Macaca mulatta: one gene and its partners. The protein of the gene in region 5 interacts with the protein of the main gene of each other region in a biochemical or structural test. Links are inferred from orthologs where the notes say so. Each region holds a gene or a part of one and is shown on either strand. Other genes may lie near its edges.

Region 1 (4,845 bases), on a different chromosome or scaffold from region 5:
CAGGCTGGAGTGCAGTGGCATGATCATGGCTCACTGCAGCCTCAACTTCCCAGGCTCAAGTGATCCTCTCACCTCTGCCTCCCAAGTAGCTGAGACCACAGGCATGCGCCACCACACCCAGCTAATTTTTTGATTTTTTTTTTTTTGTAGAGACAAAAAAAGTGTTGTCCAGGCTGGTCTCAAACTCCTGGGCTCAAGCAATCCTCTTGACCCGGCCTGCCGAGTAGCTGGAACTATAGGCGTGTGCCCCATACCTGGCAGGCATGGGGTTTTCAGGCAGTAGAGGGTGGCAGGATCAGCTGCTCTGATCCAAGAGGCTCCTGGCCCTCCCCCAGCTGGGGTCTTAGGGGGCTGTAGGGCCAGCCTAGAATTTGCATATCCACTTTACAGATGGCGGGGGGTGGGGGTGGCTGTGCCTACACTGAGCTCCTTTGCAGCCTCTGCTTTGTCCCTCTCCAGGGAAGAGGACCCAGATGATGTGCCCCATGGACATATCACTTCATTGGTATGTAAGGTTCACTCAGGCTCTCTGGTGGGGGTGGAAGTGGGGGTTAGTTGAGGCAGCCCTCAAGGTCCCAGTCCTTCACCCGCTCTCTGCTCTTCTCCTACCAGGCTGTGAAGCGTTCCCACCGGCGCCTCGGTCTGGCTCAGAAACTGATGGACCAGGCCTCTCGAGCCATGATAGAGAACTTCAATGCCAAATACGTCTCCCTGCATGTCAGGAAGAGGTGGAAGCCGGGCTGAGGGAAGGGGGATTGAGGGGGAGAGATATTGCCTTGACGGGGGTCCTGGGGTACCTCGGCTTTTGGTGAAGATCCAGGAAGTGGGATTGGGGTGAAGGAGGGACCAAGAGGAGGGGCAGGCACTGGACGTGCTACCCCTCCCTGGCCATGTCCGTGCAGCTCAGCAGTGCCTTGTTCCCCTGCAGTAACCGGGCCGCCCTGCACCTCTATTCCAACACCCTCAACTTTCAGTAAGTAGATCTCGAGTTTTCTCGTGGGCTGGGGTTGGCCCCAGGTCTGGCCCATCAGGGCACCTGAGACCGGCTGAGTTGCCTTCCAGGCTAGGGGTGGGCCGGATGTGGGGAGGACGCTGTGGACCCCAGTGCTGCCAGGATGCCTCCACATTCACTCGGTGGCTGATGGTTGAAAAGCCGGCATGGAGACAGCACCTGCCTGCTGAAACGTGCTCCGTGTGTGTTGTGATGGAGGAGCTCTGGCCCATGCTGGCAGAGGCTGGTGAAGGGCACACGGGCTGTTTAGTAATGTTTGGGAATAAAGAGGTGTGGGTCCCTGGCGTGAGCAGATCATAGCATGGCCAAGCACCTGGAAGAATCCAAGAGAGAGCAGAATCAAGGAGAATGCACGTTCAGGAAGGAAGGACCGGCGGCCAGGCAACCTAGTGGATGGGGCAGGTCTGCCTGAGGACCGGGAGGCCCCGTGTGCCTAGCACAGGAGAGAGGACCTGGCAGTTAGCATGCCCAGTAGACAGTGGAAAAAAGTGCTTGCAAGTGAAGCTGGGGTGGGCTGCCCGTGGAGGGACACTAACTGCAGTCAGCCCCTGTTTGGCAGGGGTGAAGAGGAGGGACTGTTGGGAAGGGCAGTGGCCTCTGGGCTGGATGCTGGCAAGAGGGATCTGTGACCCAGATGAGGATGTCTGGTGGGAACTGCTTTATAGCTAAGTCAACAATCCTCATGTCTTAGGCCTGGCAGGGCCAGCCTAGGCCATTGAGTCCAGCTCCCCTTCCAGGGACATGGCCACCCGAGTCTGCACACATGCCTCCCCAGTGCAGGCATGGCCCCTGAGCTGCTCAGGCAGGGCCCGTGCTGCCTAGGGATGACTCCCCTAAACAGAGCTCACTGTCTTTCCTGGGTTCTGATGGCTGTTGTGAGGCAGCTCAGTAAGGGACAGGACGCAGGGCAGGGAGGGAAGGGGAAGGCTGAATTCAGGAATTCAGCTCACAAGAAACCACAGAAATGAATCCTTAGTAGCCAGGCTAAGGACACAGAACGGGGGCAGGACAGGGGTGGGGCGGGCCGCTGTTTCCTGGAGCCTTTGCTGGAGAGAACAGAGGGCAGGTCACACTGGACTTGCTGTCTCAGGAAGGAGCCCTTCAGGGAGAAAACACGGCATCTTGCTCCAGTAGCCATGATACTAGGAGTGGAGGAGGGTGTCCCCCAGGTATGGGTCTTCCTCCTTGCTCTCTACCCTCTGCCCCCAGGATCAGTGAAGTGGAGCCCAAATACTATGCAGATGGGGAGGACGCCTATGCCATGAAGCGAGACCTCACTCAGATGGCCGACGAGGTAAGAGCCTGCATGAAGCCAAGCCAGGCAAGCGGGGGTGGCATTGGGGAGCCCCGAGACAGTGGCTGGAGGTGCGACCAACTTTGAATGCCAGCCCTTGTGGCTATGTTGCCAGGAGTCACAACCTCAGTTTCCTAGGTTGGGCTTTAGAGGAGGCCGTCTGCCTAGCAGCCTGGAGGGTGATGGGAGAGGCAGAGGGAGGAGGCTTTTAGAAGGGAAGTGGGGAGGCCTGGGGACCAGTGGGTGGCCTGCCTGCTCAGAGGTAGTTCTGAGTCAGGGTTCTGCCCCAGGCTCCTTGGGTGGCAGGGCTGGTCAAGGGGCAACGCTGTGTCGTGGGGGCCTCCATGGTAGTCAGTGAGCCCAGGTAGCAGTGGACTGGGGCTCCAGCCAGGTGTCCCCACTCAGTCCCACGTGTCCTGCCTAGCCCTGCTGCCTCACTATGCCCCTCTCCTCAGCCAGCGACAGGGCCAGGCTCCCTTTGTCTGGAAACTTAGGCCCCATCTCTTTACCTCCTGCTTCTCCCTGGGTTCCTGGTGGCAGCTGAGGCGGCACCTGGAGCTGAAGGAGAAGGGCAGGCATGTGGTGCTGGGTGCCATCGAGAACAAGGTGGAGAGCAAAGGCAATTCACCTCCGAGCTCAGGAGAGGCCTGTCGCGAGGAGAAGGGCCTGGCTGCCGAGGATAGTGGTGGGGACAGCAAGGACCTCAGCGAGGTCAGCGAGACCACAGAGAGCACAGATGTCAAGGACAGCTCAGAGGCCTCCGACTCGGCCTCCTAGAGCCTGCCCCATCCCTTCCTCACCCCACGAGCTTTCACAATAAATTCGCTCCGTGGCACTGGGGAACTTCGTGTGTGTGCGTGTGCACATTTAGAGGGTGTGTTTCTCCAGGTCCTCTGGTGGGGAGGTGAGCCTCAGCCTTTTGACCCAGAGCATCCTGCCAGTCCGAATAGAAGGGAAGAGCTTTGGAGGTGGGACTCCCCAGTCTCATGGCCTTCAGCAGCTGTGGCCCCGGGAAGGAGGCCCTGGGCTTAGGGAGAGACCCTGCCTTGGAGGTCTGCTTGGCCACGCTGAATGTGTTTTGTGGCATAAGCCTGGGCCGCTTAGGCTCAAAGCTCAACAGCAGGGCTCCCACTCTTGGTAGCCTTCAGTTCTCCTCCCATCTTCACCTTCAGACCTTTTCTCTCCCTAATCACACCTGCTTTGGGCTACAGCAGCTCTGCGGCATAGCCGTGGGCTCCAGATGTGGACATCTGACTGCTCATTGGGCTTATCTACAGCTGTCCTGAGTATAATGACCCAGCCAGACGCCCTGTCAACGGTCCTTGAGTCCTCCCTTCCCTGCCACCCTAATGGTCAGTGAGTCCATGATACCTCTTGAGTCTACTCCCTGAGTTTGCATTTGAAAATAATTTATTTTTAGTACAATTCCCCCCGTTTGCCCTATTGACATTTTGTATTAGTTGGTGTATTTGTTATTGTTGATGAGCTAATACTGATAAGTTATTGTAAACTATAGCCCATGGTTTACATTAGGTTTCCTGTCTGTGTTGTACAGTTTCTATGGGGTTACACAAATACATAAAGCCATTTATTCCCTCAAAATAATTTCATGCAGAATACAAAACTGGGTGGCTGTTGGGTGCGGTGGCTCATGCCTGTAATCACAGCACTTTGGGAGGCCGAGGTGGGCGGATCACTTTAGCTCAGGAGTTGGAGACCAGCCTGGGCAGCATGGCGAAACCCCATCTCTACTAAAAATAGAAAACCAGGTGTGGTGGTGCACGCCTGTAATCCCAGCTACTCGGGAGGCTGAAGCAGGAGGATCCCTTGAGCCCGGGAGGTGGAGGTTGCTGTGAGCCCTGATCACGCCACCACACTCCAGGGACAGAGACCCGTCTCTAAATAAATAAATAAATAAATACACACACACCAAAATCCTGTTTTTCATGGAGTCACCCTAACCGTAACGCTCTCTCCTGTGTCTCCTCCCTTCCCTTCCCTCCGGCTGCAAAGCCATCGCTTGCTGTTCCTAGTCCCTGGGCGGGCCCTGTATTCCTGAGCCCTCTGTGTACCCTGCTACTGCAGGTGGCACTGCTCCTCCGCCAGGTTGAAAATTCGCCAAACAGACCTGGAGCTCGGTTCTCTTTGGCTGGCGCCTGGCACGTGACCAGCAGGCAGCCAGCTGCTGTGGAAGCGGAGCCCGGAGACCGGCAGGGCGGGGCCGGGGCCGGAAAGGCGCGTCTGCGCACGCCCGCAGCTCTCCGGTTCCCGGCTCGGGCGAGGCTGTGTTCTGATTGGCTTAAGACGTGGGCTTCCCTTTGTATGGGCCGGAGGCGGAGCTCTGGCCCGCCCCGCGCCTGGCGTCAGTGTCTTCCGGTTCGCAAGCCCGCGGCAAGCTTCGTTCCCAGGCTCTGATTGGTCCGGCGGCTCTGGGTTCTGCGCGTGGGGTGCGGGGGAAGGGCGGGCTTGGGCACTGCCTCGGCCGCGCCCCGGCGCCGGTGGAAGGGAGCTGGCCCAAGCTCCCACGGCGTCCGCGGCG
Region 2 (6,222 bases), on a different chromosome or scaffold from region 5:
TCACAGGGGAAGGCCTCAGGAAACTTGCTCTCAACCCCTCCCACCTAGGGGAGGGGCAGGTGGGACCAGGGCCAGGAGACTAAAGACTTAAAGGCTATTGGTGACAATGGGCCTGCCAAGAGACCCAACACCACTACACACACCCCCCAGTCAGAAGCCTGTGACTGTCCCACCTCCAAGCTGCTCTTCAAGGAGTAAACCAAGCAAGGTGGACCCTCCCTGGGGTCCCCTCTGGTGGCCCTTGCTGCCAGTGGGAGTCAACTCTCTCCCAACTACAGGTCAACCGAGCACCTGTCCCCAGTCAAGGAGTTGGGGGAAGGTAGAACACAGGAGCTCCACTAAGAACGGACTAAGAAGCAGATTCCCACTGGCTCTAGCCCGCCACACTGGTGATCCATGTCCCCACGGCAACTGCTGTGGCCCACCTCAGCACCCCACAGCCTTACCCTGGAGTCCAGCAGAGTCCAGATGGCGCCCTCTAAAAGCAGAAAAGCCTGGAGTTGTTTCTCACTGGGGAGGGGACGGCTGGCTCCTCCCCTATGTTCCCAGTCCAGCCTGGCCTATCCTTACCTCCCTAGGACAATTAGGGTCACCTAAGGCTAAAAAGGTCCAAACACTTCCCCTCTCCAATCCTCGCCGGGGCCCTGTCCCCAACCCCCTGGAAGGTGGGCACCAGAGGCACCAAAAGACAACAGATCCGGCCGGGCACAGTGGCTCACATCTGTAATCCCAGTACTTTGGGAGGCCAAGGTGGGTGGATCACGAGGTCAGGAGATAGAGACCATCCTGGCTAACACGGTGAAACCCTGTCTCTACTAAAAATACAAAAAATTAGCCGGACGAGGTGGCGGGCGGTAGTCCCAGCTACTCGGGAGGCTGAGGCAGGAGAATGGCATGAACCTGGGAGGTGGAGCTTGCAGTGAGCCGAGATCTCGCCACTGCACTCCAGCCTGGACAACAGAGCAAGACTCTGTCTTCAAAAAAAAAAGACAAGAGATCTTCTCCTTCTACTCTCCCCACCCCAAACTGCCACAGACTCGCTGGAGATGTAACCTGGTTTTCCTGTTCCGTGGATCAGCAAATTGAGGCTCAGAGCAGTGTCCCATCTGGGCCACTCAGCCCTTCTGGTCTCCCCCTGACGAGGACAACAGCCAACCTGGTGTGAAGATGCTGAGCCAGGGAGGCCACTGATCCTGCCCGCACGGAGCCAAGCCCAGGGAGGGGCCGGCTCTGGCTCAGCTATCAAGTAACGGGAGGGAGAGGGAAGTAGAACAAGTTCCAGCTGGGGTGGGGAGGAAACAGGCCTTGGCCCCGGGGGAGCCCTGGTCCCTGAGCCAGCTCCAGCCTGAGAGGAAAGCCACACAGAGGCAGAACCCAAGATGGGATCTGCAGGAGGAGGCAGGGGACATCAGGAGCTCAGCCTCATGCCTGCAGGGCACAACACAGCCCGTGCCATCGGCCAGCCAGGCATCGCTGTGTTGAGCAGTGGGCACTCCCCACAGGGCCCTGTCCAAAGGACACCAAGCCCTGTACTCAAGGCCAGGCCCCCACACCACCTATGAAGACAGTGATCCTGTCAGCACGCCGGAAGGGCCCTGTGGACCACTGCCCTGTGCTGGGCTCCTGACCCCAGGTTCCTGAACAGGCAGCTGGAGGCCATGAGGCCTTGATAACTGCCTGGAAACTCCAAGCAAATGAGTATTTGTTTTAAGAGAGAATCTGTGGCCTCTGACAGATTCTCAAAAAGACCCAGACTCCAAAATACAATTAAGAACTACTGTTCTAAAGCAAAAAGAAAAAGAGACTAAGAACAAACACATAAAGGCAGAGAGAAGAGACAAACATGGGAAGGGAGGAAGTGACACACAGGACAGGGGGAATGGATGGCAGGGACTGGGACGGGGAAGGGTGGGAGACATGGGGATGAGAGCTCCACCTGGGTCAGCAGGCAGCGACCCAGTACCAGCCCCAGGAGACTGTCCTCGATGCAGATGCCACAGTAGGGACCCAGGGCACAATGCAGTCCAGGGCCAGGCACTGGGCCTAGCGGGCAGCACCCCTTTCCTTCCCTCAGCCCAGGGCTCACTCATCACACCCTACCCGTTCTGCTTCTCCTGCCTGGGAGACAGATGAACGAACTAGAGACATGGGCCAGCAAACAGGGATGGACAACAGGAGCGCAGGGAAGGATGCGGACAGGGACAGACAGCAACAGAGGACAGACAAGTGAACTGTGTGCCTGTCTACATCACTGCGCTTGGTCCGGGGCCCCAGACAGACACCAGGAGGCCATGAACCCCACCAAGGCCCATGCTGTGAATGTCAGCAACTCTCATGAGTTTCTTCAAGAGAGTTCCTGGCAAAGTCAAGAACCACTGTGGCTCCAGGACAAACTCCTAGCTTACAGGTGCACACATTAAGGCCCACAGGGAGGACAAGGCCCCCCCGAGTCCCCACAAGTGAGCAACCCACTCCACTGAACTGCCTAAACCCAGAAGCCCCCCAGAAGCCTGTCTCCAAACCCACTGTGCTCAGAGCACTGAATGCCAAACCAGGATGCTGCAAAGCCCCGCCAGAGAGGCCCCCACCTGGCCTTACCTTGGTGCGCCCGTTGATGACATAGCTGCCCAGCCGCCCTGCGCAGTGGCGGATGACGGCGTCCACGTGGGCCATGAGGGCACCAATGCTTCGGCAGCCTGCTTCATGGCCTTCCACCCAGGCAATCTGGTCCCCACGGATGCTGCGCGGCGGGATCGCCCGCTGGCTCACTAGCTGCCCGTCTCGCAGGCGCCCACCCCGTTTGAGGGCCTCCACCTCGGCCAGCACGCGGCCGCCCAGCGCTGCCCCCAGGAAGCTGTCCTTGACGCAGATGCCGTAGTACCGCATGCAGGGCACGATATAGTCCAGGGCCAGGCGCTCAGGTGCAGAGGGCAGCGCCTCCTCCATCAGCCCAGCACTGGCCTCACCACTGCCACTGCTGCAGCCGCAGCTCATGCCACCCTCCCGCTCTGCCTCCTGGTTCTCTTGCCTGGCCCAGGGCCGCTTGCTGGGTGAAGGGGCATCCCCACCATCCTCGGCCCATTTCCGTTTGGGGGCCTCAGGCCGGGCGCCCTGGGCTGCCAGTCGCTGGCACCCCTTGGTGACCAGCGCTGCAGCGCCTTCACTCTGCAGCGGCCGCAGCTCACCACCATCCTGCCCGCCAAAACCGTCCCGAAGGGGGCTGGCAGTGGTAGAGGTGGCTGTAGCTCTGGGAGTCCCACTCCCCGCTGAGGCCTCACTAGGCACTCCTGGACAGTGGTAGGAGGGGAGCAGGGGACAGGGCAGGTAACTCTCCACCCCCATCCTGGCCCGGCCAGGCTCCAAGGGCTCTGACGAAGACCCTGGTAACTGAGGGAGAGCCTGACTTAGGGGCTGCGACTGGCACGGGCTGTCCATGGCAGCAGTGTCTTCATCCCCCGGGCATGGAGGGCACCGCCCGGGCCCATGGTGCCACCCTCCTCCGCCTCCTCCTCTGCCTCTTGATGCAGCTGGGGGCCACCAGGCCTGGCGTGGGGCAGGGTGAGGCAGGGCAGACAGCAAGAGCTCTTCTCGTGCCCTGGGGGTTGCTTGCTGGTCCCCAAGTCCTCTGCCGTCCCTAAGGGCTTGGGAAGGGACCCTTCAGGGTGGCTAGAAAAAGGAAAAAGAAAAGGGATGTGAGAGGAGCTAGAGACAGGCAGGCTAGGGAAAGAGGGGATGGCATGGGCAGGAGTGGGGAAGACGACCAGGACAGACTTGACTATAGAGGTCCCCCAAAACCTGGGGCCAAGTCGGGGAGAAGACCCTGAGAATCTGGAGGTGTGAGAGTCCGCTGACAGACAAGGGACAGTGATAGGGAAAGGCTGGAGGCCAGAGGCTGGGTAGACGACCCTAAGACAGAGGACTGTGGTGCGGGTTGTGGGACGCGGTAACCAAAGACAGAGAAAGGAGGGCTGGAGTAGAAAAGGGTGGTGTGGAGGGGTGGGAAGGAGGGAGTTTGGAAAATAGGAGGGATCTGCCTCGGCGTTCCAGAGACAGACAGAGAAATGTGGGGGATTCTGAGAGAATCAGAGTTGGGGGCGGGGGGGTCAAAAGACAGAGGAAACTGGGGAGTCCAAAGACAAAGAGAACGAGGGACCCAGAGACAGAAAAACAGACCGGAGGGAAGCTGGGAGGGAAGCTGGGAGGGAGGGCCCGGGACGGAGCGGGGCGGTAGGGTCGACCCGAGCCCGACGGGAGGAAGCCGGCCGGGGGCGGACACACGCCCAGACGGAAGGGAGGTCCCGAGACTGACCGAAGGGAGGGGCCCTCGGGGAGAGGGTCCGCGGCGGCAGAGGGAAGGACGGAAGAGGGTGCACGCACCCGGAGACAGGACGAGGGAAAAAGGCACCCTCCTCCGGGGCACCCCCACGCCCCCAACCCCGGGCGGGCCCTGAGGCCACTTTGGAGAGCTGTAGCGACAGGGACAAGGCCTAGGGGCCGCTCGGACCCCCTCCCCTCCCCCTCCCCGCGGCCTCCGCCCGGCGCGCGCTCCCCGCCCCCACCCCAACCCCCCCAACGGCCGGCACCCAACGTCCCCGGCGCGCGTCCCCTCCCCCGCGCCGCACCCACATCCCCCTTACCGGGGTCGCCCTGGCAGGCCCCGGCGGGCGCCCCCACACCCCGCCCTGTTCGTGTCGGCGCCCCGGCTCCGACTCAGTCTCCTCCCGCTCCCTTCTCGCCCCGCGACCTCCTCACCAAGCTTTTTCCTCCGGCCCCGGCGCCGCCGTTTGTGCCAGCCGCCCTGCGCCGCACAGCGCGCCATACCCCGCCCCCACCGCGCGCGACGCCCCGCCCCGCCTCGCCCGTTGGGCACGTGACCGCGCCCCAACGGAGGCAACGGCGCCTGCGCAGACCTGAGCCGCGCTGGGCGAGGAAGTTCGGGACAAGCCCCCAGCCAAGGAAAAAGGAAACAGGGCTCCGTGGCCGACACGAGGTTCATTTGCATCATCCTCCGCCCCGCCCCCTTTGCGCGGGAGGGGGATCGCAGTGTGAGGGGCCGGGTCTGGGAGGGGGCGTTTCCTGCATGTTGGAATCAAGTGGCGTTGGCGGGGCGGAGCACGCAAATTATGTGATTTACACGAACAGGCCCACCCCGCGTTCCCCCCCAGCGCGGGCACCGGGTTCGGCAGCGCGGTGCGCGTGACTTCATTTACAGGGTTAGCTCCTCCTCCTCCTCGCAGCCCAGGAACGGGGGTGAGAGATGGATAAATGGCTGCGCAGTTAGTTGGCAAATGTATGTAAATTCGCACGTCAGTAATTTACATAAGTATCTTTTATAACGGAGGAGAAAAAGTGCGGGATGCCCTTGAGAAAAGGGAACGCGGACTAGAAGGGATGTTGTGCCAATGTGTATTTTCAAGACCCGCTCCGCCCTGCCCCCTCGGGACAATCGTGGGAATCAGAATAAAGAACCAGGGAAAGTCTGGGCAACAGAGTGAGACCTTATCTTTACACAAAATTAAAAAATGAAACAAAAAAAATCCACGGAACGCTACAGAGCTGGGAACATTTTGGGGGACGAAGGAATATAAGGTCATTTTGAATGCCCCGCCCCCTCCACCGTAACTCTGGAGAGCTGGGACTCAAGGCTCCCGCGGGGTCGGTAAGGCGGACGCGGAGATGGGAGGGCGACGAGCAACTGGGAGTGTCTTCAGGGGGCTGCACCAGTCCCCAGCAGGCCACCTGAGGGCGTAGGGCGGTTCGGGTGAGCACAAGGACATGCATACTGGTATCTACACATGCGTGAGGATTGCACAAAAACCCACAGTCCTCAGGGCACACACAGGGTTCATGGCCACACAAGGGTGTTTCTTGTTTAGTTTTGTTTTTGAGATGGGGTCTTACCCTTCTGCCCAGGCTGAAGTGCTGTGGCACGATCACAGTTCACTGCAGGCCCAACCTCCCAACTAAAGTGATCCTCACAACTCAGCTTCCGGTGTAGCTGGGACTTCAGGTGTGTACCATGACACCTGGCTAACTTTTTCTGTTTTTTATTTTTGTAGATGGGGTCTCTCTGTGTTGCCCAGGCTAGTCTCCAACTCCTGGGCTCAAGTGATCCATCTGCCTTGGCCTCCCAAAGTGCTGGGATTACAGGCATGAGCCACCACACCTGGCCACACATGGGTGTTTAAAAGGAGCCAAATTCACACCGAAACACACACAGAC
Region 3 (5,689 bases), on a different chromosome or scaffold from region 5:
CCCACGGAGGTGAGGCGCCCCCCTGTGGTGGGAGAGCAGGGTGGGCAGGTGTGCCGAGCCACAGCTTCACTCCCTGTACCTTCTTCCCAGGCATCCCGCCCCACAAATACCACTACATCGACGACCTGGTGGTTATCCTGCCCCAGAACGTCTGGGAGCACCTGTACAACAGGTAAGAGCCCGGGAGGCCAGCTAGTCTCTGTCCCGTCCAGGGCCCAGCTGGGCAGGAAAAGAAGGGAGGACAGGGAAGGAATGCCGCCAGGACCCCTCACCACACGCTGGCCTCCACTCGGCAGCACAGAGCCGCCTTCACTTGTCTCATGGAGAATGACACGTGTCGTTTGTGGGAATCCACTTGGATCCTTCCAGTCACAAGGGACAGGAAACTGGCTGAAGCACAACTGAGTGTGTTGGCTCATCTGGTCCTCAGCCTTGAAACAAGGCCTCTTGGGGACTGTGGGCGTGCTGCTCCCTTGCAGGCTCCATGGTGCTCACACAGAGGCACGTGCAGGCCTGTGACAGCGCTGAGGGGGCACTGATGGCTTGAGGGGGAAGTGGAAGGCAGTGATCACTCTCCCCTCACTGGTGCCCCCCTCAGGCCATGTTTCTCTCTCCCTCCCACCCTGAGCACAGATTCGGGGGTGGCCCCGCCGTCAACCACCTGTACGTGTGCTCCATCTGCCAGGTGGAGATCGAGGCGTTGGCCAAGCGCAGGAGGATCGAGATCGACACCTTCATCAAGGTGCATGTGGCAAGGCAGCACGGGGGCAGCTGTGCCAGCCTCTGCCTGGGGCACTTGGGGACTTGGGGACAGAAGAGCCCTGTGTAGTCCCTGAGCAAGTTTGAAGGAGTCTTTTGAGGCTGGGCACGGTGGTTCACACCTGTAATCCCAGCACTTTGGGAGGCTGAGGCGGACAGATCACTCGAGGTCAGGAGTTTGAGACCAGCCTGGCTAACATGGCGAAACCCCATCTCTACTAAAAATACAAAAATTAGCCGGGCATGGTGGCGGGTGCCTGTAATCCCAGCTACTCGGGAGGCTGAGGCAGGAGAATCGATTGTACCTGGGAGACGGAAGTTTCAGATTGTGCCATTGCACTCCAGCCTGGGCAACAGAGTGAGACTCTGTCTCAAGAAAAAAAAAAAAAAAGAAAGGAAAGGAGTCTTCTGCGGGGGACTAGATGGCGAGGTGTCTAGGAGGACTTTTCCTGGTGAGAGGGTTGGCTTGAGTAAGTGAAGGCTCATCGCCCGGGTGCTGTTGAGCTTAAAGAACCAGTAGATGGATCCCGTTCTCAGCCTTGGCTGTGTTATTTTGGGCTGAATCATTCTTTACTGTGGGGCCATCCTATGCATTGTAGGATGTTTAGCAGCATCCTTGGCCTCTACTCACTAGTGCTAGTGACAACCAAAATGACCTCCAGTCATTCAGACTTCTGTGAAAGAGCTGAGTGCAGGTGAGGCTCCTGGCACACTCCCTCCCTGCCACACTACTTCTAACAGGGTTAGGATGTGCTCCACTCACAGGGAAGGCCCGGCGAGAGACACTGAGGGACGCCCGTGCTTTGTGGCCATTAGGAAGTGATTCTGCTGCCTGGGCACAGTGGCTTATGCCTGTGATCCCAGCACTTTGGGAGGCCGAGGCAGGTGGATCACTTGAGCCCAGGAGTTCAAGACCAACCTGGCCAACATGGCGAAACCCCATCTCTACCAAAAATACAAAAATTACCTGGGCACGGTGGTGTGTACCTGTAGTCCCCGCTACCTGGAGGGCTGAGTGAGGTGGGAGGATCACCTAAGCCTGGGAGGTTGAAGCTGCAGTGAGCTGTGATCGTGCCACTGCACCCCAGCCTGGGCAATAGAGACCCTGTCTCAAAACAAAAACAAAAAAGATACTGTCAGGGCTGGGCATAGTGGTGTGCACTTGTGGTCCAACCTACTCAGGAGGCTGAGGTGGGAGGATCACTTGAGCCCAGGAGGTCAAGGCTGCAGTGAACCATGATTGCGCCGCTGCACTCCCGCCTGGGCACAGAGTGAGACCCCCCCCCATCTCAAAAAAGAAAAGAAAAAAGAAAAAGAAACTGCTCCTGTCAGAAGGAGAGCTGCCTCTCTGAGCAGATAGGCACATTCTATTCAACCGGGGAAAATTAGCATCTGCCAGGCCAGGTGCAGTGGTTCATGCCTGTAATCCCAGCACTTTTGAGAGGCCGATGTGGGTGGATCACCTGAGGTCAGGAGTTCAAGACCAGCCTGGCCAACATAGTGAAACCCCATCTCTACTAAAAATACAAAAGTAGCCAGGTGGTGGCGCGCACCTGTAGTCCTAGCTACTCAAAAGAGGCTGAGGTGGGAGAATCGCTTGAACCTGGGAGGCAGAGGTTACAGTGAGCCGAGATCGTGCCATTGCACTCCAGCCTGGGTGACAGAGTGAGACTCCCTCTCAAAAAGTAGCATCTCCCTTGTGGTCTCAGTTGGGTCAAACAGTTATCGAAGAGACCCACAAAATGTTGCCACTGTCCTCTCTGAGCGATGGGTGTGTTCATTTTGTTTGAGCTTGTCTGGGGGTTCTGATTTTTCACCTTGAGCATCTGGTGTTTTTGTAAGACTCTTGGGTGAGGGCCTGGGGCGGGGGCATTTGGGAAATCCTTGCTGAAGGTAAATAGAGGCTGACCTGCCCTCTGTCCCCTCCCGTCCTTGCCCACCTGCCCAGCTGAACAAGGCCTTCCAGGCCGAGGAGTCGCCGGGCGTCATCTACTGCATCAGCATGCAGTGGTTCCGGGAGTGGGAGGCGTTCGTCAAGGGGAAGGACAACGGTGAGCTGAGGGGGGCCTGGCACTTACCTGCCCCGGGGGCCTCCTGGGAGATGGGATGCTGGCAGGGGAGGGCTGGCACACGGGGGCTCCTGCAGGCCCCGTACCTTCCCCCAGGTGCCACCCATCCAGGGTGGACAGAGAGCATGGGGCTCTGCCAGTCCCCAGTGGGGATCGCTGTCCCCACCCAGAGGCAGGAAGCTGCTTCTGCTCTGCGCCCCTCCCCTTCTCCACTCCCTGCCGTGCCCAGCAAGCTGCTCTGCCCTCCTGCAAGGCCCTTTCCTCAGGGGAGCGTGTTGCCCGAAATGACAGATTTGTCATCCAACTCGTTGGATCTACAGAGATGGAGACAGGCCCCATCACAAGGATGCTCCCAGGGCCCCCCAGACCCCCAGTGAGGAACAGCAGAGCCAGCCATGAGTTGCCTGTGGCTTTGGGGCCCGGCAGGGTGGGCAGAGCCCATGGTCCTGCTCACGGGACCCTTTGTGTGGAGCACAAGCACCCACCTGTGCTCGGGAAGGAAGGCCCCACTGCCATCCCGCTGCTCAGGGAAGGTGCCAGGGCCACCCTGAGGCACCTCTGGTGGTGGCTGAGGCCTTCAGCGTGGCTGTGGTTGAGAACGTAGCTCCGGAACCCCCACCCTGGCCTGGACGGTGGCCTTGCCTTCTACCAGCTGTGACCTGAGTGGTTACTTCACCTGCCCAGGCCTCGGCTCTGTCTCTGTAAACCTCTGTCTTGTCCTGTGGCTGCTGAGGCTAAATGAGACAGCTGGGCAGAGGGGAAGGGGCGTGGTGAGTGGCAGCTGCCAGCAGAGATGAGGGCATGGGCCGCCCACCGCAGTTCCCGCGGCCAGCACAGAGTCTGAGACGATCTCGTGCATCCTGGAAATTCCCTCTGCTGGGTCCTCAGACTGCCGCAGAGGAGCATTGGGTGGCCCAGGCACCTCCTTTAGAGACTTCTCGCTGACCCCCAGGCCTGGGGTGGCCTCACTTGGGATGGCTCTGCTGCTGCGGAGGGTGGAGGGCGTGGCAGGGGCTGAACCCGAGCCTGCTGTGTCTGTTCCAGAGCCCCCCGGGCCCATTGACAACAGCAGGATTGCACAGGTCAAAGGAAGCGGCCACGTCCAGCTGAAGCAGGGTGAGTTCCCCCGGCGTCAGCCAGGCTCCTCTCTGCGCTTCCTGGCTGCCAGGCTGCTGCCCAGCCCCGTCCTTCCAGGAGCCCCCTTCCCACCTGTCTTAGAGTCAGGCTGAGATGTCCACCTGAGTCCAGGCCCAGGCGGCTGAGAGATGGCGCAAGGGGCTTGGTCTCTGCTTGTGTCCTCCGGGTCCCACCCCTCCGCCTGCTGCTGGCCTGGCCCACCCTGCTGTCTGCTTGTGTCCCCCAGGTCCCACCCCTCTGCCTGCTGCTGGCCTGGCCCACCCTGCTGTCTGCTTGTGTCCCCCGGGTCCCACCCCTCTGCCTGCTGCTGGCCTGGCCCACCCTGCTGTCTGCTTGTGTCCCCCGGGTCCCACCCCTCCGCCTGCTGCTGGCCTGGCCCACCCTGCTGTTTATGTCAGCGCCACTCCCAGAAACGAGGGACACAGCCAGAAATAACACATCTCCGGGGCCCTTAGCAGGACGGACGTTCCTCTGGGAAATCCTGGTTTCCATCTGACGGCTTTGCATAGATGCCCTGGTTGCCGTCCTCCCCCTTTGGGGTCTGGCCCTGCGGAGCCCCCACTGCCCAGGCCAGTGGCTTCCTTGAGGCGGCAAAGGTGAGCCCAGGGATGCCTCTCGTGCCCTGCAGGAGCTGACTACGGGCAGATTTCAGAGGAGACCTGGAACTACCTGAACAGCCTGTACGGAGGCGGCCCCGAGATCGCCATCCGCCAGAGCGTGGTGCAGCCGCCGGGCCCGGAGAGCCTGCACGGGGAGCAGAAGATCGAAGCCGAGACCCGGGCAGTGTGATTTGCTGGGCTAGTCTGTAAGTGGCCCTGGCCGGTCCCTCCACGGCACTCTGGGTCCTCTCCTCCCTCTCCAGAGACCCTCACGTGTCCCTTTGAGCATCCAAAGGGCAGGTCCCTGAAGGCGCCTTCCTGGAGGCTGTAGGGAGGCCCTGGACGTGCCCAGCCCCACTGCTGAGTGCCCGTGTCCCCACAGCCCTGTGTGCCCCACCCCGCGGAAGGCGTGTTTGTGCCCAGAAGAGAGGCCGGGCCACTGCAGAACCCCGCTGTGTAAAGAGGCAGAAAAGTTGGTTTGGTTCGCAGTGAGTAACGCTGCAACTGGAAAACGTGCACTTCAGGCTTGTTTAAACGACCAAGACTCTGTGACGTTAATTTGGGTTTTTGTCCTGGCAGTGCTCCTGCCAGTCACTGTCATCATTGTGTCCCCCACAACTGTCCTCTTACTAGCTCGGCCCAGCTTTGTTCCTGGAGCCCGATGCTGCCCCCCTCAGGCAGAGGATGCATCTGGGGCCAGAGTCAGGGAGTAGCTGCTGCTTCACAGCGTTGCCACCGTTTCTGCCGCCACCGTTTCTGCCATGAGATTGGCCCTGATCCCCAAAGATTGGAGGGAGCTGCTCCGGACTGGTGAGCGCAGCCAGAAGCCCTGGCCAGTGAGGAGCTCACAGGTCCTCCCTGATGGTCCCGCCGCACCCCTGCATCTCCTGGGCGTCACCAGGAAGGCTCTGAAGTCCCAGGCTGCTTTCAGCACTTTTCCTGCAGACTGGAGACTCTGGACTCATTGCTGATTGGAATGCCAGGAGGAGGGTGGATTTCTGCCAGTGGGGGACATTTCTGGAGGCAGCTGGTCCCCCACACCGCATCCTGCTGAGCCTGCCCCTGGATTGGCTGTACTTTGCCTGGAAGTTCAGCAGTTCATCTTCATGGGAAATTTGCTGAGCC
Region 4 (6,192 bases), on a different chromosome or scaffold from region 5:
GCGCTGGCGTGACCCGAGTCGGGGGCAGCAAGCTGGTTAGCGGGTGGGTGAAGGCAGGGGTCTTCCACGACCACCACAGAAACAAAACACCTGGGTCGGGATTGCGTCTTGTATTGGAAAAGCGAAAGAACAGTCAGCTGGGGGTGCCAAGAAGGCAGGTGATGTACAAACCTGGAGCCTTAGGATGGTCCACAGGCTGCGGAGGAGCACAGCCAGGACAGCGTTCCGCGGGGCCCGACAGAGACTGCGGCGGAAGGCAGGGGAATCTGCCATGGACCAGTTGAGCAAGCTGTTTCAGGGAGGGATCCAGGCCTCTGCACACCTGGGCGTGTACAGCCTGCGGCAGCTCTGCCACCGTTCCTCGCCTGTCTTCTGCCTTTACGCAGGCTTTCTAGCAGACATTGCCAAGGTTCTTCTCCAGGCCTTCAAGGCCGTAGGTTAACTGCGCCCTCCATTTCACTGCTCTGTCCTCAGCCCCTCCACACTCCAGCTCAGTACGTTGGCACTAACTCTTCCCTCCGATTGAAACATTCTTCCCCTACACGACGTCCCTCCACGGAACATTATTCTCCCATATACCCACAGTGCGCTCTCCGTGTATCTGCTCCAATGTTCTCCCCTCTTCGCATACCGCCGGAAGTAAGCTGCAAATAAACCAGAGTCCCCCGTCTGTCTTGTTCACAGCTTTGTCCCCAAAACCTAAAATAAGGCTTGGTACCCAAGAGGTGCTCACTAAGTTTCACAACATTTACTCTGCCAGACGTTGTTCAGGGCGCTTAATTTGCTTCTTTACTTTCCACACCATGTAATGTAGATACTAATGTTATTTCCAATCTCATTTCACAGATGAGAAACAAAAGTTGATAGATGTCACAAATAGAAATGTGACATCTTTATTTTGCATAGATGTTGGTGGCTGCTATCATCCTGATATGTCCTCCTGTTTAAAACTACTTGAAGAGACACGGTGCCCAATACTCTTATAGTCAGATGTGAGAGAATGAGAGTCATTACTTGTTTAAATTCCTGAGGTAGAGTGGAAGGCAGAAGGACAGCTAGGTATCCGTGTTCCACCGCTTCCCTGTCTGGGCACGTCCTTCAGGGTGCAACTGGACCCCCAGACGCCTGGGCTTTTGTGTGCAGTGACTGGGCCCAGAGAGAGCTTTCCAGTGGATGTCCCCAGAAGTCAGAACTTTAAGGTCCTCCTTTGGGCGTTTCCGTTTCTGCGAGAGCTTCCCGTGTTCTGACCTAGGCAGGAATGGATTGGCAGTCTAGCAACACACAGGGCAATTTTCACCTTATTATTTTATTGTATGTATGTATGTATTTATTTGAGTCGGAGTCTCGCTCTACTGCCCAGGCTGGAGTGCAGTGGCGGGATCTCGATTCACTGCAACTTCTGCCTCCCAGGTTCAAGGGATTCTCCTGCCTCAGCCTCCCGAGTAGCTGGGATTACAGGCACCCGCCACCACACCTGGCTAATTTTACTTATTTATTTATTTATTTATTTATTTATTGGAAAGAGGTTGCATCATGTTGGCCAGGCTAGTCTCGAACTCCTGACCTCAAGTGATCCACCCCCTCGGCCTCCCAAAGTGGAATGATTACAGGCACGAGCCACTGCGCCCGGCAAAAAGAGACCAATTTTTAGTACATCCAGAGTAACCCTCTCCTGCCTTAGTCCAGCCTGGACTAAGTCCTTCCGGAGTTGGTGTGCATCAGAACAAAAACCTCTTGAGGGAGGACGGTCCCGCGGAAGCACAGTTTTAAAGTTTATTTTTAAAATTTTAATGCCATACTTTTTTAAATTGCCCATCGTTACCCACGATAGTGAACTGAAAATTAAGCTCTCCTGTGGTTGCCCCGTCAACCCTCCCCGCACCAAGTGGAACAGGCGGAGCTCGAGCTACGCCACATAGGGGCGGGGAAGCCGCCAGGGAGTCCTCATGGGAATGTGCCGTACACTTCACCTCTTTCGCTTCTCGCTCTACATCATCCCTGAGAAGCCTTTTTAAACACTTGAATGTGCTTGTTTCAGAATGTATTTATAAAGCGCTGTCAGATTATGTTGTACGGAAGTGGGGACTGTGATGCCGTGCAATTTCCCTTTGCCTTTTGCATTACATGGCGCCGCCATCTTGAGCAGAAGTGTATCATGGGGCTCGCCATTTTACTTGGTCGAGTGGGTATTTCCGGTTCCGGCAGAGGGCTTCTCTCTTTCACTGCAAGGCGGCGGCGGTAGCGGCTGTGTTGCTCGTTTCTCTGAGCCATCCAGTGCCATCCTCGTCGCTGCAGCGACACACGCGCTCGCCGCCGCCATGACTGAGCAGATGACCCTTCGTGGCACCCTCAAGGGCCACAACGGCTGGGTAACCCAGATCGCTACTACCCCGCAGTTCCCGGACATGATCCTGTCCGCCTCTCGAGGTACGGACTAAGGTAGATTTCAGGACCCGAGATTGCAGGGCTGGGGGATTCCGCGTGGTTCGGGCAGGCCGGTGGCGCGCGCGCTGCCGGGGACTGACAAACTTCTCTGCCTCACTGTGATTTGGGGCGTGCGGACGCGAGCCTAGGCCTCAGCCCGGGCGAACCACATTGCAGATGAGGACCTAGACGTAGAGCGGCTCGTGGCTGTTAGGGTTGGAGAGTTGGAAACTTTTAAAACATCTTCTGCCTTCCCCTTCGTAGTGTGGTCGGGGGCCTACGGGCCGGGCGGGGCGGTGATGACCCCAACATGCCATCTGAGTGTCGGTGCTGAAATCCAGAGGCTGTTTCTGAGCTGCCGCCCGGCCCAAGGCTCGTGGGGAGGCGGGTGGACTCCAGAGGACCTCGTGGCTCAAGTCTCGTCCTACTTTTTCTGCCCCTGGGTCTCCCCTCCCCGTCCCTATCCCTGTGTGCCTGACTGCGTTTGGACACTTGTTGTGCTTCCCCTTTGCTCCTACACTGTTAAGAATTGTGTGACTCTTGAATCATGTCTGGCTGTTAATCGTAAAATTGTTGAGTGGGACAGGTTTCAGTAAAAGCATCCGATCCTGTAGCGCCTAAAGTGGCTTTTCCAGCATTCATTATAACATTTCTGTCGGCCCTCATGGGAGGCATGGGAGGCCCCAGCTACTCTACAGCCACGAACTGCTGTGCATTCGGTTGCAGAGAAGATACGTGGTGGCTGTTGAGTTCGTCTGAGTTTCAGGAAAGGGTGTCTGTAATTTCTGGCACCTAAATTAAGTTCTCAGGATACAGACCGGGCACGGTGGCTCACGGCTATAATCCCAGCACTTTGGGAGGCAGAGGCGGGCGGATCACCTTAGGTCAGGAGTTCGAAACTAGCCTGGCCAATGGTGAAACCCCATCTCTAGTTTAAAAAAAAAAAAAAAGCCAGGCGTGCTGGGGGTGGCCTGTAATTCCAGCTACTAGGGAGGCTGAGGCAGGAGAATTGCTTGAACACGGGAGGTGGAGGTTGCAGTGAGCCGAGATCATGCCATTGCACTCCAGCCTGGGTGACAGAGTGAGACTCCATCTCAAAAAAAAAAAAAAAAAAGAGTTATCACGGTACAGTTTAGCTCTGCGTGCGTTTTTAGTCTGGAATAGAGCCACTCAGTCCTGGCCTGTAACTGCTCTTGTAGTCTGTTGTTCCATCCCTCCTTAAGCATCCTTAGTTGTTAACCCACTCATGACCTTGACACTTAGTGAATTATCCAGTGTGTTAACAAACTGGCTGCGGGTTCCTCACTGGTTTTTCTTCTGTTTGGCCGCTTTTAGATAAGACCATCATCATGTGGAAACTGACCAGGGATGAGACCAACTATGGAATTCCACAGCGTGCTCTGCGGGGTCACTCCCACTTTGTTAGTGATGTGGTTATCTCCTCAGATGGCCAGTTTGCCCTCTCAGGCTCCTGGGATGGAACCCTGCGCCTCTGGGATCTCACAACGCAAGTAGCTGCTCACTTAGCTCTGGGGCCTTGGGAAAAAATCTGGGCAGAAATGTGGTGGATGCAATTGGCTGGTTTCCCAGGGGAGATCCAGTCCATTTGGGAACTGGAAAGCAGACTGCACCTACAGAAGATGTTTGGCCTCCCTCGCTTTGAATTAGTTACTCAGGATTGCTGAGGAGTGTGGTTGAACATATCTACCAGGTGCGACAGTTTTGAGTAGGCAGCAGTTTGAACATGTTTTACCTTGAAAGCTGAGGTGATTGGCAGGTGGAATTAGAGGGTCCTGGTGATGACAGATGACATTGTCAGCCAATCCCCATGTGGGAGTGAGGACATGTCCTGCAATTCTGAAGGGATTCTTTGTCATATATGTGTGAGTAATGCAATGAGACAGAGACAAGGCCCAGGAATCAGTCTGACCCTTGAATGAGAATGTTTGTTAAGTCTGAGAATGACAAAGTCCTCCCTCTTAGGGGCACCACCACGAGGCGATTTGTGGGCCATACCAAGGATGTGCTGAGTGTGGCCTTCTCCTCTGACAACCGGCAGATTGTCTCTGGATCTCGAGATAAAACCATCAAGCTATGGAATACCCTGGGTGTGTGCAAATACACTGTCCAGGTAAAGTGAGGCCATGGTCAGAGAGCACATCTCCAAGGATCTCTCCCACTCTCTTAACCTTTACTTTTTTTTTTTTTTTTTATTTTGAGACAGTCTCACTCTGTCGCCCAGGCTGAAGTGCAGTGGCGCTGTGTCAGCTTACTGCAACCTCTGCCTCCCAGGCTCAGGTGATTCTGGTGCCTCAGTCTCCACAGTAGCTGGTGCTACAGGTGCGCACCACCAGGGTGGTCTCGAACTGAGCTTAGGCAGTCTGCCCGCCTCAGCCTCCCAAAGTGCTGGGATTACAGGCGTGAGCCACCATGGCCTGCATATCTTTACCCTTTTTTTTTTTTTTTTTTTAAAGACAGTTTTGCTCATTGCCCAGGCTGGGGTGCAATGGCGTGACCGCAGCTGACCACAACCTCCGCCTCCCGAGTTCAAGCAATTCTACCTCAGCTTCCCAAGTAGCTGGGATTACAGGCATGTGCCACCACGCCTGGTTTTGTATTTTTAGTAGAGATGGGGTTTCTCCATGTTGGTCAGGCTGGTCTTGAACTCCCAACGTCAGGTGATCTGCCCGCCTCAGCCTCCCAAAGTGCTGGGATTACGGGCGTGAGCCACCGTGCCCGGCTCTCTGCCTTTTTAAAGTCTTGGCTGGGCTCATGCTCTGGTAGGCCAAGGTGGGAGGATTGCTTGAGGACAGGAGAGCAGCCTGGCCAACACAGTGAGACCCCATCCATAAAAATTTTTATTTATTTTGAGATGGAGTCTCACCCTGTTGCCCAGGCTGGAGTGCAGTGTGCGATCTTGGCCCACTGCAACCTCCGCCTCCCAGGTTCATGCCATTCTCTTGCCTCAGCTTCTCGAGTAGCTGGGACTACAGCATGCCCAGCTAATTTTTTTGTATTTTTAGTGGAGACGAGGATTCACCGTGTTAGCCAGGTGGTCTTGATCTCCTCACCTCGTGATCCGCCCACCTTGGCCTCCTAAAGTGCTGGGGTTACAGGCGTGAGCCACCGCACCTGGCCCTTTTTTGAGATGAAGTTTCACTCGTTCATTGCGCTGGCTGGAGTGCAATGGCACAATCGTGGCTCACTGTAAACTTCGCTTCCTGCGTTTAAGCAATGCTCCTGCCTGAGCCTTCCATGTAGCTGGGATTACAGGCACCCACCACCACACCCGGTGAATTTTTGTGTTTTTGGTAGAGACGGTTTCACCATGTTGGCCAAGCTGATGTCAAACTCCTGACCTCAGGTGATCCACTCACCTCGCCCTCCCCAAGTGCTGGGATTACAGGCGTGATCCACTGCGTCCAACCCCCGTCTCTAAATTTAAAAAGAAATTCTTATCTGGAATCTAAAGGGATTCTGTTGACCTTAAAGGTTTGGGTTCTGGGTTTTTGAAAGGTGCTGCCAGCCATCATCTGGCTGGGGGGGGGTCTAGCATTTCATGGGATAGGACTGTTTCCCCTTATTTCCTTTTCATCCTCTGTAGGATGAGAGCCACTCAGAGTGGGTGTCTTGTGTCCGCTTCTCGCCTAACAGCAGCAACCCTATCATCGTCTCCTGCGGCTGGGACAAGCTGGTCAAGGTGAGCTTCAAGCCAAGGCAGGGGCTTTACCAGTCAGGGTGTGCTGTGCTCCCAGGTGGTCATACGCT
Region 5 (5,689 bases):
AGGATTATAGGCATGAGCCACCACACCTGGTGGAGTTAAAAATTAAAATACACCATTAAGGCATGGAGAAATTATAATACAAATGGCAGATAATAGGACTTTAGAGAATCATTAAAGTTGAGGTGCCAGTCTGAGTCTAAGGCCCAATAAAAAAAAGTTCACCAGAATTTTAAGACAAACAACTGCTTATCTGACTTCTTTGGATGTTCTCAATAATTCAAGACCGTGTAGTTAGATTATAAGTATTACATTGTGGAGGCCCACATATTAACAAAAATAGACAGTAAGACCGCTAATTCTTACGAATGAATTGTTAAAAATAATCAAGTGTTCCGAGATTTTTGGAAAGTACCTCGTGAATTAAAAAATTAAAGTCTTTCTACATTTGTGTGTTCTTAAACAGTGTATACTGATCGTAATTATTTAAAAAATCATGTGTTCTAAGATTTTTGGAAAGTACCTCTTGAATTACAAAAACAATTCAAGCAAGTCATTCCACATTTGTGCCTCCTTAAGCAGTGTATACTGATCATAATTGAACTTTTCTTCATGATGGAAAGATACCACAAGGAAAATTTCTTATGTTCTGCTGTCCTTTGTTGCTCTCCAATTTAAGTGCATACGTTTGTTTGCTTCTATATTATACAACCTCAAATTTATTTTTTGTATAATATTTGAGGTTTTCTTTTTCATATCATTTATTATAATAATAGCTAACCTCCATTGAGAGAATGCTCTGTGCCAAGACGCTGTTCTTCCTATTTTATATGCTTTTAACTCCTTTATTCCTCACAACAACCCTGTGAAGTTAACTGTTAGACAATTTCTGTTTTACCAGGAAACTGAGGCACAGAGTTACTAAGTAACTTTCCCAACATTATTTGGTTAGTAAATGGCAGAGCTTGGGCTGAACTTCAGTAGACTGGCTTCAGAGTCCACGCTCGTTAGTCCTTTGGAGCGCTTTTCATATTCTTGAATTCTCACATTCTGTCTTTTTTCACGCTGTCAGCGGGACCTGACTCCTGTTTTTAAATTTCATATTGTGTTTTTACTGTTAATTTGGAAAACAAATGCGTACTTTTTAGAATTCTGTATAAAGGAGGAGTAAATATGCGATGAGCAAGGACCTAAGTGGGCTGTCAGTGAGTTTAATATATGAGTTCTAATGTGCAGAGTTGAGGTTTATATTGACTGCTCAGTGCTTCCCTGGGGCTAGACTATAAATGGATGGATATTAGGAAGTCTTGTTCTGATTTGGTAATGATGTTAATGCATTATTCTAAATCAGATAGTCTTAATATAGTTTAAATGTATGTTTCGAACCAAATGTTCTTTTTTAAAGCACACAAACATTTTGAAATCATTCCTAATGTGGTTATGAATTATTGATGTTCCATTGGGAAACTAAAATGCAGATTTTTCTCTTTTAGAAACTAGGGACTGTTGCAAAGCATCATATTTTAGTGATACACTGAGAGCCAGTGGTGTGTTTATAATAGGACAAACAGTCCTATTATTCTTCCGTATAAATTCTAGAAAAATGCTTTAGAATTTATAAATTATTACAAAATAAGACTTATTTTTAGAGAGTTTAAAATTTAGGGGTTTTTTTTAATGGTTTGTTGTGTTTTTTTTCCTCATTAGGAAAACACTAGTACTTTTCAGTTACCTTGATTTTTAAATTAATCTGCAGGTCCCCATTCAAAGGCCTTGGGTTCTTTTCAAAGGTCAGTATAATTCAAGCTTAGATTATGAAGGACTGAACATACCCAAAGGATTTTGCATGTGGATCTTTACTGCCACTACCACAACCATCACCACCTACGTACACACACGACACACTCATTCTCTCTCTCTCTCTCTCTCCCTCCCACACTCCCTCCCTTCCCCTCGCCTCCCACCCCCACCCTTTGCTCTCATGGCATCTTTTAAAAATATACTCTTGAATCCTTCCAGGGAGGGCAAATTCACTTCTTATCTAAGTAAACACAAGTGGCATGCATCAGTACCAGGACTGCCCATCTTGCCTAGTTCCATTATTAAATGAGTATAGGCTAGAATTCATCTTGTTCCTTAAGAGTCCAGTATTTCTAGCTAACCATGCCTACATTTAAACTTACTCTCATTTCTTTTCTACTTGACAGTGTTCTTCCAATATACTAGCATTACAATTTCTAGATTTGATTTTCTCTCCTGTCTTATTTCCATCCGTTTTCAAGTCTATTAAGATCTACCTCTTCATTTGTCTTTTACCACCATTCTTTTCACTCATACTACTGCTACTGGCTCAGCCCTCTCATTACAGTCACGTAATTCTAACATATATATTGCTGCTAAGTTAATTTTCCTTAAGTTACTGATTGTGCTTTTTAAAAGCCCCTTGTTGAATATTTAGGCAGGACTCCATGTGGACATCCACAGGCCTCCGTAGTACAGCCCTAACGTTCCCTTCTGACTTTGCCTTCCTACTCTTCTATGTGTACTTTACATTGTGGACAAACTACTATATGCAGTTTTTCAAACATGTCCTATTTTTCCTACCTCTGTGCTTTTCATTCTCTTCCTTCTCCCTGGAACCTTCTAACCCATCTCTACTTACTGACATTCTAATGTCTCTTTTTCTAAGCAGGACTTCTTGATTCCCCTTGACTAGAAGTTATTCCTCTAAGCTCTCCCTATCCTCCCTTAAAGCATTTTTATAAGTCTCAAGTACCAACTCTACATTGTGTTTTTGTTGACCTTACTATATCTACTACATTTTTAACTTCTTCAGGAAAGGTGGTGTGTCTTACTCATCTTTGTATTGCCTGCAATCTCTAGTCCAGGTTCTAAATAATAAATATTTTTATATGTGTTTTGAAGTACATTGACCAATGAAGATAAGAAATCAAGAGGCTATTTCCTTTTTTTTTTTTTTTTTTTTTTTTTTTTAGACAGTGTCTCACTTTGCCACCCAGGCTGGAGTGCAGTGGCACAATCTCAGTTCACTGCAACCTCTGCCTCCTGGGTTCAAGTGATTCTCACGCCTCAACCTCCCAAGTAGCTGGGATTATAAGCGTGCACCACCACACCTAGCTAATATTTATATTTTTAGTAGAGATGGGGTTTTACCATGATGGCCAGCATGGTCTCAAACTTCTGGCCTCAAGTGATCTTCCTGCCTCAGCCTCCAAAGTGCTGGGATTACAGGCATGAGGCATGAGCCACCATGCCCAGCAAGATGCTATTTCCTTAGTCACCTAAATATAATCTCATTTTTAGTTATAGAAGGTTTGAAATAGGAGTGAATAGACTTTACTTAATTCTGACTTTACTTTATTTCTGTAGTTTTTTTTTTTTTTTTTTTTTTTTGAGATGGATTCTCACTCTTTCGCCCAGGTTGGAGTGCAGTGGCACAGTCTCAGCTCATTGCAACCTCCGCCTCCCGGGTTCAAGTGATTCAACTGCCTCAGTCTCCCGAGTAGCTGGGATTACAGGCACCCACCATCACACCCAGCTAATTTTTGTATTTTTAGTAGAGACAGGGTTTCACCATGTTGGCCAGGCTGGTCTCGAACTCCTGACCTCAAGTGATCCTCCTGCCTCAGCCTCCCAAAGTGCTGGGATTACGGGCATGAGCCACCATGCCCTATTTCTGTAACTTTTGATAAGTCATTTGATCTGTTGTTGTTTTCTTATAGTAACAAAGTAGAAATAATTTTCTGCCTGCTTTACTAGATAAATTAAGGGGAAAAAATAAGATATGTAAAAATGTTATTTGTTATTAAAAAGAAAGTTGCTATTTTAAAGGTTCTGTAAATACATAGAGTGCTTATTAGAAATTGAGCTAACACATTCAGGAAAGAATAGGAAGAGTTTGCTGAAGTTCTTTCTTTAGGGATTCTTGTGTACCAATAGCACAGTTAAAGAGCAAACTCATACCATTTTTATATTTCTCTGTAGTTTGACTAAACTTACTTGCTTGAATGATTAACTGTTATCCCAAATACGGATTATCTTTCAGTCAACTCAGGGAATCAGAGCTACTGAGTAGTATGTGTCAGATCTCTTGGGTGTGCTGGAGTGAGTAAAAGGGGAATGAATTACTGTGTTCATGCTGAGACTTTTAATTGAACAGGTATTCAGTTGATCTAGGTGATGGGCACTTTGCTACTTTCATTGTAACAAATTTGTATATTTAGTTGCTTTAAAACTTTATTTCATGCTTTCATTAGGCCCTGTGAAAAAGGGTAAAGAACAAAACACACAGCGAAGCTTTTTTCTCAGAATGAAGTGTACCCTAACTAGCCGAGGAAGAACTATGAACATAAAGTCTGCAACATGGAAGGTAAGTGAAAATTATTTGTGATTGATGATACACTTTATTTATACATAGACATTGCAGTATTAAGATAACTTTAGAATTGTGAGGGAAGGTTTACAGTTCCTTGGTGTTTGGTTATGTAACATTTATACCTTCAACTGATTTGCATATGATTCCTAAAATCCAGAACCGTGTAGTAATTTGCCAATTTGAGGCACAAACTTAAATTAGGTGAATTGTGGCACTGGTATACTAGGCTTACCTAATCAGTTGGCTTTGCCAACCACACAATATTTGGATCCTGGTAGGGCTTAATTTTCTATTAATCATGGTTTTGTATCTTTGTTCAATGTTGAGACATAGTCATCAGTGCAAGAAATAACTATCAAACCAGCCCGGATGATGAGATGAATGAAAAAGCAGCCTAGACTTTATATGAGGGGAATTTTTTAAACAGTAATGTATAGGCCCTGGGCAGGAAGTAGGTCATGGGTGGTGGAAAAACGTTCATTGATTTTCAAAAACCTGGTTAATCCACTAGTGACAGTAAATTTTATCAAAGCTTACTGGCCATGTCACACTCAACAACTTATCTCTGCTTTTTTTTTCTTTTTCCTAGCATTGTAAAATTTTTGTTAACTGCTTTGTTTTCTTCTTCATACACAGGTATTGCACTGCACAGGCCATATTCACGTATATGATACCAACAGTAACCAACCTCAGTGTGGGTATAAGAAACCACCTATGACCTGCTTGGTGCTGATTTGTGAACCCATTCCTCACCCATCAAATATTGAAATTCCTCTAGATAGCAAGACTTTTCTCAGTCGACACAGCCTGGATATGAAATTTTCTTATTGTGACGAAAGGTAAATTAGATCTAAAATGTGAATTTGAAAGTTTTAATTAGTCTACAGCATTATTGAATATTCACCGTAGCAAAGATTCAGTGTTGGCCATGCATGGTGGCTCACACCTGTAATCCCAGCACTTTGGAAGGCTGAGGCCCGCGGTGGGATGGATCATCTGAGGTCAGGAGTTTGAGACCAGCTTGGCCAATGTGGTGAAACCCCATCTCTACTAAAAATACAAAAATTAGCACTGCGTGGTGGCGGGCACTACTCAGGAGGCTTAGGCAGGAGAATCGCTTGAACCTGGGAGGTGGAGGTTGCGGTGAGCCAAGATCACACCACCACACTCCAGCCTGGATGACAGAGCAAGACTCCATCTCAAAAAAAAAAAAAAAAAAAATTACTCAGTATTAAACTGTGCTTTCCACTAAATTAAACAGAATAATACATCCTATAATATTAGATTAACTTTGTAAATTAATTCAGCCACATTTATTGAACACTTACTCTGTACTATGAACGCTTACTTTACTAG

Evidence for each region.
Region 1: the proteins of HIF1A (region 5) and NAA10 form a complex in vitro, tested with the Homo sapiens proteins (4 studies listed by BioGRID and IntAct, with this or other methods). The link is inferred for Macaca mulatta from reciprocal best matches to the Homo sapiens genes HIF1A and NAA10.
Region 2: the proteins of HIF1A (region 5) and EGLN2 form a complex in vitro, tested with the Homo sapiens proteins (3 studies listed by BioGRID, with this or other methods). The link is inferred for Macaca mulatta from reciprocal best matches to the Homo sapiens genes HIF1A and EGLN2.
Region 3: of the proteins of HIF1A (region 5) and USP20, one has a biochemical effect on the other in vitro, tested with the Homo sapiens proteins (2 studies listed by BioGRID and IntAct, with this or other methods). The link is inferred for Macaca mulatta from reciprocal best matches to the Homo sapiens genes HIF1A and USP20.
Region 4: the proteins of HIF1A (region 5) and RACK1 form a complex in vitro, tested with the Homo sapiens proteins (2 studies listed by BioGRID). The link is inferred for Macaca mulatta from reciprocal best matches to the Homo sapiens genes HIF1A and RACK1.

Annotation. Positions count from the first base shown.
Region 1 is NC_133426.1:160,174,445-160,179,289, reverse strand, and holds the end of NAA10 (N-alpha-acetyltransferase 10), read left to right. Parts: intron 1-459; coding exon 460-532; intron 533-579; coding exon 580-728; intron 729-928; coding exon 929-973; intron 974-2,221; coding exon 2,222-2,306; intron 2,307-2,846; coding exon 2,847-3,083; 3' UTR 3,084-3,149; downstream 3,150-4,845. UniProt on the Homo sapiens protein: Catalytic subunit of N-terminal acetyltransferase complexes which display alpha (N-terminal) acetyltransferase activity. Acetylates amino termini that are devoid of initiator methionine.
Region 2 is NC_133424.1:51,918,818-51,925,039, reverse strand, and holds the start of EGLN2 (egl nine homolog 2), read right to left. Parts: upstream 3,504-6,222; 5' UTR 3,436-3,503; coding exon 2,599-3,435; intron 1-2,598. UniProt on the Homo sapiens protein: Prolyl hydroxylase that mediates hydroxylation of proline residues in target proteins, such as ATF4, IKBKB, CEP192 and HIF1A. Target proteins are preferentially recognized via a LXXLAP motif.
Region 3 is NC_133420.1:17,731,386-17,737,074, reverse strand, and holds part of USP20 (ubiquitin carboxyl-terminal hydrolase 20), read left to right. Parts: coding exon 1-9; intron 10-90; coding exon 91-172; intron 173-633; coding exon 634-742; intron 743-2,707; coding exon 2,708-2,810; intron 2,811-3,315; exon of another isoform or gene 3,316-3,872; coding exon 3,873-3,944; exon of another isoform or gene 3,945-4,167; intron 4,168-4,286; exon of another isoform or gene 4,287-4,593; coding exon 4,594-4,754; 3' UTR 4,755-4,770; exon of another isoform or gene 4,771-5,197; 3' UTR 5,198-5,689.
Region 4 is NC_133411.1:190,283,650-190,289,841, reverse strand, and holds the start of RACK1 (small ribosomal subunit protein RACK1), read left to right. Parts: upstream 1-2,214; 5' UTR 2,215-2,318; coding exon 2,319-2,427; intron 2,428-2,714; exon of another isoform or gene 2,715-2,782; intron 2,783-3,759; coding exon 3,760-3,931; intron 3,932-4,213; exon of another isoform or gene 4,214-4,292; intron 4,293-4,407; coding exon 4,408-4,555; intron 4,556-6,028; coding exon 6,029-6,124; intron 6,125-6,192. UniProt on the Homo sapiens protein: Scaffolding protein involved in the recruitment, assembly and/or regulation of a variety of signaling molecules. Interacts with a wide variety of proteins and plays a role in many cellular processes.
Region 5 is NC_133412.1:134,832,419-134,838,107, forward strand, and holds part of HIF1A (hypoxia-inducible factor 1-alpha), read left to right. Parts: intron 1-4,214; coding exon 4,215-4,327; intron 4,328-4,969; coding exon 4,970-5,172; intron 5,173-5,689.